Schizosaccharomyces pombe: one gene and its partner. The gene in region 1 interacts genetically with each later gene. Each region holds a gene or a part of one and is shown on either strand. Other genes may lie near its edges.

The links.
Region 2: of oxs1 (region 1) and obr1, changing one suppresses a phenotype caused by changing the other (phenotypic suppression), as found in Schizosaccharomyces pombe (one study listed by BioGRID).

Annotation. Positions count from the first base shown.
Region 1 is NC_003423.3:2,558,264-2,567,853, reverse strand, and holds oxs1 (oxidative stress transcription coactivator/ribosome recycling protein Oxs1), read right to left. Parts: upstream 1,421-9,590; coding exon 887-1,420; intron 779-886; coding exon 689-778; 3' UTR 501-688; downstream 1-500. Other genes in the region: atp7 (F0-ATPase subunit D), read right to left, coding at 1-153; guanyl-nucleotide exchange factor Muk1, read left to right, coding at 2,672-3,057, 3,106-3,928; ATP-dependent RNA helicase Dbl8, read left to right, coding at 4,727-9,590.
Region 2 is NC_003424.3:2,091,996-2,097,327, reverse strand, and holds obr1 (NAD(P)H dehydrogenase (quinone)), read left to right. Parts: upstream 1-2,343; 5' UTR 2,344-2,436; coding exon 2,437-3,045; 3' UTR 3,046-3,218; downstream 3,219-5,332. Other genes in the region: SPOM_SPAC25A8.03C (uncharacterized protein), read left to right, coding at 1-946; SPOM_SPAC3C7.13C (glucose-6-phosphate 1-dehydrogenase), read left to right, coding at 4,386-5,332. UniProt on the Schizosaccharomyces pombe protein: Unknown. Target of pap1 transcription factor. Confers brefeldin A resistance in S.pombe.

The DNA of each region.
Region 1 (9,590 bases):
CTGCTCTCGCAATGTACCCAATTTGGCAACTGCCTGAGCATGACGAGAGCGAAAATTAGCAATAGCAGAAGCAGTTGCGGCATCAAGCTTCAGCTTGCTAGCTACACTAGCCCAATCAATCGCCTTTCCAGCAGCGCTAGCAACTTTCGACATTTGCGTAAATAAAGAAGAAAAAATTCAAAATTCAATAAAATAACAGTTATATTGTTAAACAATTTAACTGTCTTATAAATATTTCCTGCTTTTGGTTATGTGTTGAAGAGATGGGGGTAGTTGGGGAACGGATGATTTAGCATTGCCAGAGCCATATTGCCAGGTGGTTTGGCTTTCAGCAGTAGGCTTCCTTAATGGTTCAAAAAATATCATATAATTGGGTAAATGAAAGCAACAAGTACAAAATTACTACAAAAAAAAAAATTAAGCGGTTAGAATAGAACTTGTGCCCTACAATTAGTATACGCTCCACTCATTCTTGTGCTAATAGAAATTCAAAGTTAGCTGTAAATTTTGATTTACCGGTGTATCACCAAATCACTTTGTACTTCTCATGTTTAATTTAAGATTTCATTTTTGAATGTCGAGAAAAATTATTTAGTAATTGGTTTATTGATAATTTATAAATAATATAAAAGAATTACCATAGTAAAAAGGAAAAAGAAAAGTTCTAAACATATTGCCATAACTATAGTTACTCGCGTAAACGTGCTTCCAATTCTGCTTTACGAGCTTTACGAAGCTGTTCAACCTCATCTTGACTAGTGTTATAGCTCACATTCATCTGAAATTGTTAGTAAAAATGATATTTACAATGGTTTTCCTGTTTAGGGTTTATACATGATATGGTCATCATCAAAAAGAGTATGCATGTACCCTTATCGCTTCTTACCTTATTGAAAGGATTGTCCGGATGTTTCTGAAATTCTTTATACATTATGTCTTCATATTGGTTTAAACGGAGGCCCGGTTGTTCTTTGCGTAGTTCAGGCAAACGAGATTGTTTGTATTCTGTCAAAGCTGCTTTAAACCGACGTTCAGGATGACGATCAATTTTATCTTTGGACGATGAATTGTTTAAACTTAACAAATCCAAAGCATCATCAATATTGCGGGCACTATATGAAGCTGTCTGAGGGGTTTCGTTGAGGAAAGCGTCTAAAGATGAATTCTTCTTTGCAGCCTTCTTTGACCCCTTTCCTCCTTTAGATGGAAGACTCTCCATTTCTTCTTTTTCTAAACGTTCACGTTCAGCTTTCCTCTCCAACGCAGCTTTTCGTTTTTCAGCTTCTTGCTCCTTTTTATTAGTTTTGACGCCCTTGGACCATTTTTCGTCTTCTTCAGCGTCTTTTTTTTTCTTTTCCTCGTCTTGTTTTCTAGATTTTGCCGCTTCGGCCTTTTCTGCTCTCTTTTTTGGATTCCCCATATCAAGGCTATTAATGGTATGTGAGATTTGAATGACTTGAACAACAGGTGATTTCTATATGCCGCCTCGTTATAAGAAAGGCGACGAAGGATGGATTAATAATCTGATCTGATAATTTTTATAAGTGAATGTCTCGTTATATCTCCCTATTTTTATCAGTGTATTTACAAAGGTGTATTGATAACACTGAACAAACGGCGTCAAACGTTGGTATGTAACTGAATTTTTATCACTAAAATAGAAAATAAAAGTTCTTAATTGGAAATCTGCTACTATTTATTTCCTTAAATGCCTTGATGCAGGCTAAGGGTATATTGAATGGTATAGACACTGCATAATACACCATAAATCCTTTTTATGACATGATGGCATTCTTAACAGTGATAACTCATTAAAAAGAGAAACAAAGTCAACCGATGTAAATTGATCATACTCTTCAATTACAATATTATATCATGACAATTGTTATGGACTTCGATGTGTATTTCATGAAGTTTGAAAAAGTAAAATATATCATCAAATTAAATGCTTATTCTTGCCAAATTATTCAACAATATCGTACAGTGAACAATTGCTTTCAAGTATTGATTAGTTTATTGTAATCTATATAAGTATTAAACTTCATCTTCGATACAAATAACGTACAAACTAACATTCCGATCATCTTAATTGTTAAAGGAATTAATGAATCTATAATTCTAAATTATTTTTTTTAGCACTTAAATTTACTCATCCTATTATTTACATTTACAGTATACGGTTTCTTAACGAGTATACGCTATTATTATGCCGAAACATGAATGCATATCAATTTTGGTTCTACCAGCACTGTTCCTCTATTTTGAAGGGTTTATAAGTTAAAGTCAAGTAAGCATTACCTCTGATTATTATTTCATTTTATATCAAGTTCTTAATCAACGTTCTTATTTTTTTAATTCGTGTCTCTATATTTTGACAATTACTTGAAAACTTGTCATACGACAAAGGTAAAGAAGGAATTGCTAGCATTTATAGCTTTAAAACGATGTATATTTTCTATTAGGGATATATTGTTATATTTTTGACTCTCAACGAATACTTCGTACTCGGTTCCTTCGATTGCTGTTTATCCTATCTGATATAAATTTGAAAATTTGAATTAGACCCTATGCTAACATATTCTTAGTTACATGTATATATAGAATTTTTTTTCGTTTAATTTTATTTTTGAAAATTAAACTTTTTGATCACCTTTCGTAAAAGTTCCTTTCGATGAGCTTTCTGAATTCTTGGAGAGCTGTTAAATATACAAATAAGCCTAAGGAAGAAGACATCAAACTCCCAAATTCTGCATCAAATCTTCCAACTACTGTACAAGCATGTGTGATACAGTTTATCTCTTCTCTAGTTAGTCCGGTTCACCCTCAATTGCTTTCGCCTGAAGAACTAGCAAAAGCATTTCAAAACTTTTACAAGCATACCGATGAGTTTATTGCTTCAACCCTTATCCCTCAACCCTCTTCAAAAGATCAAAATGTGCCTCTTTTGTTTCCTGAGGAAATAGATGCTCAGAAAAAGGCGAGACAACACTTGCTGAACCAAAAAGATGAATGGATGGACCAAATTGAAGATATAGTTTGCGAATATTTGTATGATCGGTATGTGATTACTTCGCCTACAATAACTGTTTACTAATATTGTGTTAGGATTTTCTGTTTATCTACAAGTACGGATGCTGCCAAAGATGACTTGTTAAAAAAATTTATTGCTTCTGAAGAAAAGAAAGAACTTATCAATTGCATTCCAATACCTGATGATGAAAAACTTACAAACCGGTTACATGAAGTCTCTGAAGCATTTTTTGCTCTCGATGAGCAACACACACCTAGATCGAAAATAAACACTTTTATGACCGTTAATTCAAGTATATTGAATGCCTCTCAACTTCCTCAAGAAGAATTGAATGCTGATTCTTTATTAAATTTGACCATATATTGCATTCTCTGTTATCCCGGATTTCATTTAATATCGCACCTGAATTTTGTGTTACGCTTTCGAAATGCAGATTTTTTAAGCGGAGAGCAAAGATACTGTCTCACAACTTTTGAGGCAGCCCTTACTTTTATTCTTCGAGCTTGTCCAAATCTTTTAACTCAATCGTCAATTCAACCCTCTGATGATCCTCTTTCACTTGAGGTAGCTAATAGCGAAACAGTTTCGACCTCTAACTCGCTTCATGATCCGAGTGCAGAACCCTACCCTGTGAATCGCTCATCTTTATCTAATTTAAGAAATCTGGGACTAGCACTTGAGAAATCTTATGCCTCTCTACTTAGTAAAGTAGCCAATCACACTGCCAAAAGTTCAGAAGATTCTTCCAATTCTGTAGAATTCGTGGGCGACCCACCTTTGGAACGCTTTTTGACTGTTTCTGATGCTAGCGATCTTAAAATCGGTGAAATTGAACTTCTTCTTTCTGACTATAAGCGCCTCGCACGTTTGCTTTTTGAGAAAAATGGTAATCAGTAATTTTGACTGAATATTTTCTTTAAAAATTTCACATCCAGTTGGTTTTCGGCTTTGTTTATGGTTATTTGATTCATTTGAGAGACAAAGTCATATAGAAAAGTTATATGATTGATCAATATTTTTTTTTTCTTTGTTGCAGGTCAATTCGTGAACAGCTTAAAAGTTTAAAAGAAAATTTTTATTCAAAACAAGGATTGATTATTCCTTGACGTCTATTTTATTAATGTATGAATATCACAAAGAACTAGCAAAAATGATTTAAGCTTGTATGTTGACGCAAAGATTGCATGCGAATTAAATCCTTACAAAGGAAATATATGAAACGAATATATCATGTTACTGCAAAATTTTTAAATATACTGAATAAAATGAACTGTGATTCTTTGCTCAGTGAAGAAAATAGTCATATTTGAAACTAGGAATTAAACACACAATCACAAACTTCGGATTATAATGGGTAAGAAAGTTTTTTAAGTTGTCACATTATATATAGTAATGTTTAAAATATATTTCGGATAATCATATATATCTTAATTACAATAAAGAAGCGTGATTTTGGTACATGAATTTATATACACTTTCAAAATATACGTTCATTTTTTTATTTAAAATTTCTCTTAAGGCTATTTTATTTCAATGCGATAATCGAGTGCTGTGTGGACATCAAATGATTGGTTGCACTAAATGTTTATAGTGAATAGTGTAATTTACTTCCTTAGAAACCTAGATTTTGAAAAATTGCAGTCGCGCTTTAATAAGTCTACTTCGAGAGTGAGAATGCAGCATTAGCTTGTGGTTATGGAAAATGACGAGGCTTTTGATAGATTAATAAGAAAAATTCAGGAAAATCAAAAACACCCATCTTTCGAAGGGTCCAATAAAGTTTTGCATTTGGCGCTTTCATACCTAAATACTAACAGACAAAACCCTCATTGGGTTTGTGATCCTAAATTACAAGTAGCAGTTCGTGAATGTCTTTTTCTATTTTCTTTTCAAAATGATAACGAGTATCTGGTATGGTTCAAAAAACATTTGAACGAACGCCTTCAGTTATGCCCCAAATGTATAGTTAAATATCACCAATCTTTAGATGATTTCAAAAGTCTATGTTTAAACATTTTTCACTTTGACCCAAATACTCTTGAGATTGTAATGGAGAAAATTTATAGTTGGGACATTTTTCGGTTACAGGAAGTTCTCAAAACAGTGCCTAAAATCGACACGTCCTCGGCCTCTAAACCTATACTATGCGCCTTCTACGAAATCTTATACTCTCCTCGTATTTTACATAATAAAGAAATCTTTCCCTTGTTCCGAAACAGATTTCTTGAGTCCGGTTTTCTTCGGCTCTCGAAAAACCTAGTGCCAGGTGTCATAAGTCTTCTCTTCTCGAGAGATGATGAGCTCCGAAGATGGGCTTGCAGTATTTTAAGTGATGTAAAAACAATCTCCGATAATGAATTTAAAATCCTTGAGGGTCCCCTTCTTCAGGAAATTCGTTCTTTAGACCAGAAGAAAGAAAATGAGAACGAGATGCAAATTTTTCTGAAAGGTTTATCGTTGCTGTTAAAGCATGTTGATCATCTTTATTTTAGGGGACTTACAGGAAAAAATTTCAATGTCGCCGATTTTATTCTTTCGGGATTGCAAAGCGACCATACTAATTTATGTCCGTCTTTCCTTGTATGTTTACATTCTTTGTTATACTGCTATGGACGTAATTTTTGGACGCCAGAAATTTCTCCCAGTGAAGTAATAGATAAAATTTTTAATGGTAATGCTTATAAGAGGTGGACAGAAGAAAATACATCCAATTTTTCAAACGACCAAAAGGCAGAGAATCCGTTTGAATGGGCTACCTCTCTTTTGAAGACAATTTCAATCATTGATGAAGTTGAATTAATTAACAAAATTTTGATTAATTACACCATGCAATATAAAAAGGAACTGGAAGTCGGTTTCAAAAATGTTCAGTTACTTCAATCACTTGCTGACATATTTTCAGTTTTGTTTTCCGAATATTTTATGATTTTCCCCCATAGTGATCAAAGTTTACAAAACAAAGTATTTGAATTACATTCCACTTTAGCGATTAAGTTTGACGAGCTGTTTCGTTTGCTAAACTTGGAAAATGAAGAGTCTGTTGAATGGAGGCTTATTAAGAAAGTTTTTGAATACCGATTGAATTTAGATCTTTATATTTTGAAGCAATTCTATTGCCATTATTTGGACAGAAATAGAAAGCCACCCTTGAATATCAAATCGGTAAGTGAGTCTTTTAAAAATTTTTGGGTATATTTGCAAAACGTATTTCGAGAGGAGAAGTTCTTTATGGTTCGTATTGTTTTTCGTGCTTGCTCTACAGTTTGCTTGATTGATAAGTTGCCGCCTAAGAAAGTTGACATTCCGTTCAAAAGTGATTTCGAAAATGCACTAAACGGATTTGTTGCAACATTTTCTGAAATGCTTATTCAGACTCAATGTTGGCATTTGTCGGCACAAACCCAATTGGTTTCAAATCCTTTAACTTTTCGTGGAATCTTTTCACTCGTTTTTTCTCCAATTCTTGAGATCTCAACAGGAAGTATCTCAATTATTAAATCTATTTCGCTTTCTGACAGCGTTGTTGATACTATAGGAGAGCTATTGAGAAGCCAGTTTTCAAATACACTAAATTCTTCATGTTATGTTCTTCTGCAGTGGCTTAAAGTCAGAAACTTTGGAGGAGCCAAGCACATTGTTTATTTTAATAAATTAATTATAAACACTATTTTTGACTCTGTTGATGGCTTAACTTCTAAGGATGCGACTTTTGCAAAACAAGTGGAAAAGAAAGAATCCCTTAAGAATTTCTGGGAATCGTTATGGAAATTCTTTACTCATTTTTTCATTGTTCTTCCTACTTGGCCAGTTCATGATAAGGACAATTTAGTTGATTTAATGCGGGATACCCTTGATTTTTGCGATATGCTCATTAATATTTTTGAGGAAGTTAACGGATTCATTTTTGGATTATCGGATAACGATATTAAAATTGTTTCGGCTAATGATAAGGGCAGTGCTTTAGCTATGTGTATAGCTGATTCTTTGGTTACTGTATCTTATTGGCTTAAGTTAACTGATTCTTCACTTCTAACATCCGTTGTGAAAGTGATTTGTAAAATGCTTAAAATTTGTAAAAAGTTGGAGTGTCCAATTAGTCAAAATGTGATTGATATTATCCATAGGGCATCAATTACCAGTGATGAACAAACAATTCTTACATTCACTGAGAGAGAGGATCTTTTTATATCGCTCACACCATACCTTTCAGAAGACGTTCTTAATCACTCTCCTTTCAATGATACCAATACGCTTGAAACTAAGTTACAGAGTGATGATCGGGGTTTGCTTTCTAAAGACCAGACTATTGGGATTGCGAAAAAATTACCTGAGTCAAACATTAGTACTTCAAATCATTTTTTGCTTCCTCCGAAGGCTATTTCTGCTTCTAAAGCCATCAATAGAAATGCTCAAAAATCTCAAAATTTAAATTTTTTGAAATCTAAACAAGAGACAACACAGCGAATTCGCGAATCCGCGAAAGTTCCAAGAACCAGTGCGGGGAACCATCTTTCTGAGAAACTTAATTCGGATAATCATATACCAAAAGCTTTGCAAAAGCTCGATTCTGCTGACCCAATTCGCAAGCCTTCACTTTTGCACACTTCTAAAAGTTATTCTAATCCAGATGACAAAAATACTTCAACTTCCGATGAAGATACCTCGGAGTCCGAAGAAGAGTCTAGTAACGGTCTATTCTCGCTTGCACGTGAAGCTAATTCTCATGCCTCTAAATCTCTTCCACAAAGAAGGCAGATTCAGTTCTTGGACTTTGATTCCCTTAAAACAAAAAATGTAGTTCATCCTACTCAATTGCGCCGTAATACTCAACAAAGTGCACAACTTGCTCGACTCCGGCTAAACCCTGATGTTCAAGAGTTTTACAAAGTAATTTTGGGTTGGAACCCATTAGCTGATTCTTTTTCGGCGTCTAATGTTGAGATGCAGTGCGTCCAAGCTAAATTCACGTATAATGATTCAAACGCTTATGAGAAAGTTTTCAAACCAATGTTGTTTCATGAATGTTGGGCTCAAGTGAAAAGTGCCGTTGAAGAAAAGCAATACCCTCCCATAGATTTAATCCTCAACACCCGCAGTACAGTTGATAACTTTGTCGATATTTACTTTACGTCCTGTTCACCTACCGAAGTCTCTTTTTTAAGTGATACAGATATTTGCTTACTGTCAAAATCACAAAGTTCGGGCGATACTAATAACCCAAAATCTTTTCAGTTGTGCAAAATTCAATCCATTTCTCGTAAAAAAGAATCACTTGAACTCTGTCTGCGGATGAATATTGAATCAATTGATCTACAGGAGTATGCACCGAACATTAGGTTCACAGCACAAAAATTATTTAATGCTACTACTAGCTTACGTGAATTTGCTGCTTTAAAATCTCTTCGCCATTTACCATTGTCTCAGAGAATTCTGGATGCCAATGTAACGCGTCTACCTTCAAATTTTACAGATGACAAAAAGCAAAAAATAATGAAGTCTTATGGTGTAAATGAACCCCAGGCATATGCGATTTATGCATCTTCTGTAAATGATGGTTTTACGCTCATTCAAGGGCCTCCTGGAACTGGAAAAACTAAAACCATTCTAGGCATGATTGGAGCTGTACTTACTTCTTCTAGTCAAGGGTTGCAATTTAATGTCCCAGGACAGACGCGAAAAACCTCAAAGAATAAGATTTTAATATGCGCTCCTAGTAATGCAGCCATAGATGAAATTCTCCTTCGTATCAAAGCCGGTGTTTACGATCATGAGGGTATCAAATTTTTTCCAAAAGTTATTCGTGTTGGATTTGGTGACTCCATAAGCGTTCACGCTAAAGAATTTACTTTGGAAGAGCAAATGATAAAGCAAATGGAACTTACGAACCTAAAGAAAGATCAAGAAGCAAACAATTCCAGTGATACTCGGAAAAAATATGACTCAATTATTAAAAAAAGGGACTCTTTACGCGAAGATCTAGAAAAGTTTCGTAGTACTGGAAAAAATAGTTCAATATTGGAAGCACAGCTTCGTGAGATTACCAAACAGAAAAACATGCTTGAACAGAGCCTTGATGATATGAGAGAACGTCAACGCTCAACTAATCGTAATCTGGATGTTTTGAAAAAACAAATACAAAATCAACTACTTCAGGAAGCTGATATTGTATGTGCTACCTTATCTGCGAGTGGTCATGAACTACTTTTAAATGCGGGTTTGACTTTTCGAACTGTCATAATTGATGAAGCTGCACAAGCCGTTGAATTAAGTTCAATCATACCTCTTAAGTATGGCTGTGAGAGCTGTGTAATGGTTGGTGATCCGAATCAGCTTCCTCCTACTGTGCTATCAAAAACCTCTGCAAAGTTTGGATATTCACAATCTCTATATGTCAGAATGTTCAAACAGCATAATGAGAGCGCTTGTCTTCTTAGCATACAGTATAGAATGAATCCTGAAATTAGCCGATTTCCCAGCAAGTTTTTCTATAATTCAAAACTACTTGACGGTCCCAATATGTCAGCAGTGACATCTCGACCTTGGCACGAGGATCCGCAGC
Region 2 (5,332 bases), on another chromosome or scaffold:
AATATATGATTTTCATTCTGGGACTGGAATAATAGCATTGGATATTCTTGATTATCTTTATAAAAATCACCTTGAAGTTTATGGACGTACTACATACAATATAGTCTTGCATAATTCTTGGCAAGCAAGCTGGTTTAAGAGCATGTTGACATCTGTGAGATATGCAAAGCATGGAGATCATATTGATATATATGTTAGTGATCCATTAACGTGGAACCATACTGATACAAATCCTTGCTTTGTATTGGCATTACAGGTAATTAGCTCCTTCGGTCATGATTTATTTCGTCAGAGTAACGGCGCCATGATGATGGAACGGTGCTGGCTTGGTCCAGAGCACTTTTTAAACGAATTCTTCACTCTAAATACTCACCAAAAAGTTAGCTCTTTGAATTACCATTTAGCATTTCAACAAGCTAGGATTAATGTTCAGCAAGGGTTTAGCGACAGCAGGGCTAAACGGTACTTTTCCGGTGTTAAACAAGTATTTTGGTCCTTTTTTAGCACGCAAAAACTCACATACTATCCTACGAAAGCCATTAGATTTTTTGAACGATTGTCAAAACAGTTTCCGCACCACAGTCTGCTTTTGATGGACGTGTGTCACGTTGACAAATCCTTGCCTGGAATCAATGCACCGTCTGTTTTAAGTATGGAAAATGATTTTTCTACAAAAAAAATGTCTTCTAACATTGGGCACGTGTTTCAAAATGAGACCGTCAAATATGTGTTTCCCACACCTTTATATCTAGTTTCAGATATACTTCAGCTTGCTACTCATAATCGGTCCTTCATTTGTTCACTTCCCCATTTCTTAAGGCGATGGTCTAATGAACATGGTAGAAAGTTTTTCGTTCCTGTAGAACCGTCATCTAAAAACCTAAAAGTTCCTTATTCCTTCAACAATTACTACGTTGTCTCGTCTATGCCAACTTATTATTACTAAATGGCAAGTACTATTTTTCTTATTCTTTGTTCAACTTGAGAGGTGCACTAAGCGGGCTAGTGAATTGACTTTAGTTATTTATTTATTTATTTTTTGAAAATTGGTTATAAATAAAATAGCTTTAAATTGGAAAGAATATCATATTCAGTTAGGGTTGAAAAGGTTAAATAATGAAATTGCCAGTGTCAACTCGAAAGAGAATGCGAGCTTTAAACTGCATAAATAATTAAATATCGGAAATTTATACAATCTTCAAACGCAAGCCGTATTCAGTTTTGTATTGAACATCGATTGAATTGCTATAATCTTCCTATTAAAGATTTTGCAATAAACATTAATAATCCATTGAAATTTTTTTTTTTTTTTTTAAGAATCGAATTTTATTGTATTAAGACGTGATCCTAAACGCATTGTATAATATCATTGTGTTTTATTTTCCTGGGGTTTTTTTTTATTGCTTATTTAATTAATTAATTATTTATTTAATTAGTTAATTTATTTGCTTAGTTTATTACAACTCGTTCATCTTTTTATTTGGTTTTTTACTTTTAATTATTATTTCTTTTTTAATCATTCTTGAGAAATCGCTCTGTTTTGATTATGCGATTTATTTGCTATTGTCTTTTAGCACCTACAAATTTCTCAAGAATATTATCCTGTATGATGTTTTACATATGAATATATGAAATTGATTGATTTAAAATTGATACTATGATGAGAAAGGGAAGAGGTTTAACACTTCATTCTATAACCGTTTTCTTTTGTTTTCAGTGCTGACCAATTCCTTGCATACACAAAAACTTTCCAAGGATGATGATGGACTGGCTGACCATCAATGCATTTTGCACTTAAAATAGCGTACGTTTTATCGATTTACCGATGTTTTCCATTGGGTTGTGTTAAATTAGAGGTGACCGTAACCATGTTATTTTCCCAGTACTAAGTTAGTAGGAAAGCTATAGAGAAACCCAAAGTCCCCCACTTAGGCCAACAGTGGCGCAGCTACATCGATAAAGCAAAGATGAAAATAGCGATACAAAAGGTCAACACCAAAAACTCATCAAGCGAGCCAAAGTATGTAACCTCAGTTTACAGAAAATGGGACAGGTAATAACAAATGCCAACACCTGTGGAATGAAAGTATTTCAAGCACAAAATCGGTTTGTTTGATCTAAAGTGAGCATGAATGAGAGAGAAAGAAATAAAATAATAATAGAATCATTGTTTGAATAGGATTAGTCAGAAATGGTTCAATTTTCACAATCCTAGGATGAACCAAAGGTAGTTTACGTAATCTTGGTAATCAACCGCTGGTCCCAAAAAAACAGGAAATAAAAAAAAACACATCGGAGGCTTTCAAAAAATCTATATAAGGACGTAAAATTCCCTATATTTTTAAACGTTCCAAAGAAATTCAATCACAGCTTCATTCTTCACTGTCGTGCTTCGATTTCGTTATTTTATTACTCCAGCGTTTTATTAAACCCAGTATGTCTACCGCAAACACCGTCGCTATTGTGATTTATTCCACTTATGGCCATGTCGTCAAACTGGCTGAGGCCGAAAAGGCTGGCATTGAGAAAGCTGGTGGAAAAGCTGTCATTTATCAGTTCCCCGAGACATTGAGTCCTGAAATCTTGGAGAAGATGCATGCTGCACCCAAACCCAATTACCCTGTTGTTACACTCGATGTCTTAACGCAGTATGATGCCTTCCTCTTCGGTTATCCTACACGCTACGGCACTCCTCCTGCTCAGTTCCGTACTTTTTGGGACTCCACTGGTGGTTTATGGGTGCAAGGTGCTTTGCATGGAAAGTACTTTGGTCAGTTCTTTTCCACCGGTACCTTGGGCGGTGGTCAAGAAAGCACTGCTCTTACTGCCATGACCAGCTTTGTTCATCATGGAATGATTTTTGTACCTCTTGGCTATAAGAATACATTTTCACTCATGGCTAACGTTGAGTCCATTCATGGCGGCTCCAGCTGGGGCGCTGGTTCCTATGCTGGAGCCGACGGTTCTCGTAATGTATCCGATGATGAACTAGAAATTGCACGAATTCAAGGTGAGACTTTCTTCAAGACTGTTTTCCGCAAGTAAGACTTTGCGAATAGTATCTATTGAAACAGTGCAAATGATTGCACAATTTTGAGTTGAATCACCAACTGGCTTTTTTTGTTTACGCCCATGCATTGCATTGCTTGGCCAAGTAATGCACGTTTCGCTAGTTGATTGTTTATACCATAGAATGAATATTCAATTATTTCTCTTTTAAAGTAGAAGTCTTAGGAATGTATTTTCGCGTAATCCGTCACCTAATTGAGATGCTTAATGTAAAAAACATCCATTTTCTGTATCTCAACCATTCGATTTAGTAATGTGTCGTTTATAGCTAACTGAACAAAACGATATTTCTACGGATGTTCTCTCTTACAAATCGCTTTCGCCCTATATTCTTGGGAGTTATTATTTAATGCTCTTTTGCTATTTGTTAAAGACCACTCACTATTACTCGATTTTTCGACACGTGTGATGTATGTATGTATCGGCACTGATGATGATCAGAAAGACATCTTTCGATAATACCGCAACCATAAACTATCCCACGATTCCGTCTATCCTCGTTTGAGTTTCAATATTTTATTGTTCGTGCGAATTTAATAATTCAAGGTTATCACCTTTTTATTCTAGAGTTGTAAGTTTTTATATTAATTGCCTTTCTTTACTACTGCAGGTAAGTTTTGCTTATCAATCGAATCGTTCAAGGCTCCACCCCGCCGCAGAACTTTAAACAAACCCGGTTACACGCGTGTTGTAGGATCTAATTCAGCAGCACAAAAGATGTAAAAAAGAATTGGATTACAATGCCTTTTACACAACTTGTCTATCCTCTCAAACTTCTGATCGATACAAAAGCTCTTGCTCAGCGCTTTCGCCAAACTCCTGTAACCCTTATAGCATATTTCTATGCGAACTCTGATCCGCAGCTTAATGCAACTTAAACCATAACATTGGGAAGCTATTTTTGCATGCGTAAGGCTACCTAATATATCGTCATAGGCAATATGTTTTACTTGGCATATGATTTCATACTCTAAACCCAAGTCGTTTTGGTCTTATTATTTAAAGGATGGTTAGTCCATCAATGGGAAGGCACTGATTATTTCTAATTGAGAATTTTACCCCAAGGCTCTCTGATATCTTGAAAGCATTCCTGTACTGAAGGCTAACCTTGAATTGGTAAAGCACTTATTCATCGCGTATTCCTTTCGAATATACGCAAAGTTTCAGCCATTCTGTTCGTTATTTGATTATTGTTTTGTTGGAGATTTTATTAATAGGAAGTTATTTCTTTAGTTTTGCCATACATTATTGTTATTTGCTATATTAGTTTTCGCCCACTCGCTCTTCTACAGTTAAAGTTCATCTTATAAACAAAAATGGTTACTTTTATGGTATTTGGTGCATCAGGCAACCTCGCCAACAAAAAGACATTCCCTGCCCTGTTCCATCTCTTCAAACGAAACCTGGTAGATCGTTCTTCCTTTTACGTACTTGGATATGCTAGAAGTAAGATACCTATCGGTGAATTCAGGGAAAGTATTCGTGAATCTGTGAAGCCAGATACTGAAAGCAAACAGGTGTTTCAGGACTTCATTGACCGAGTATCTTACTTCAGTGGTCAGTATGATCAGAGCAGTTCTTATGTGGAATTTCGAAAACACCTAGAATCAGTTGAAAAAAAAGCAGACTCTTCGAAAGCACTTCGTATCTTTTATATCGCCTTACCACCATCTGTTTACGTGACAGTCAGTTCTCATATATATGAGAATTTATATTTACCAGGAAAATCGCGGTTAGTTATTGAAAAACCGTTTGGTAAAAACTATCAATCGGCTGTTAAACTCAAAGAAGAAGTTCATAAGCATTGGAAAGAGGAAGAAATTTATCGGATTGATCATTATACAGCCAAAGATATGGTTAACAATTTTTTCACCCTTCGTTTTGCAAACTCTTCGTCCATTGACGCAGTTTTAAATCGCCATTCTATTCAATCCGTCGAAATACACATGTATGAAACGGGAGGCTGTGAAGGCCGTATTGGTTACTATGATGCGAATGGAGTCGTTCGCGACGTCGTACAGAATCATTTAACTCAAATTTTTTGTATTGCTGCTATGAATGAACCGAAGTCTGCTTCTGCGAGTGATGTTCGTGCTGAAAAGGTCAATTTGTTGAAAGCTACCAGACCAGCATCTTTGAAAGAAAGTATGCTTGGTCAGTATACAACTAGCGAAGACGGTAAAATACCGGGCTACTTAGACTTGGAGGGAGTCCCTAAAGATAGTAAAGCCACCACATTTGCTGCATCCACTCTTCATGTTGA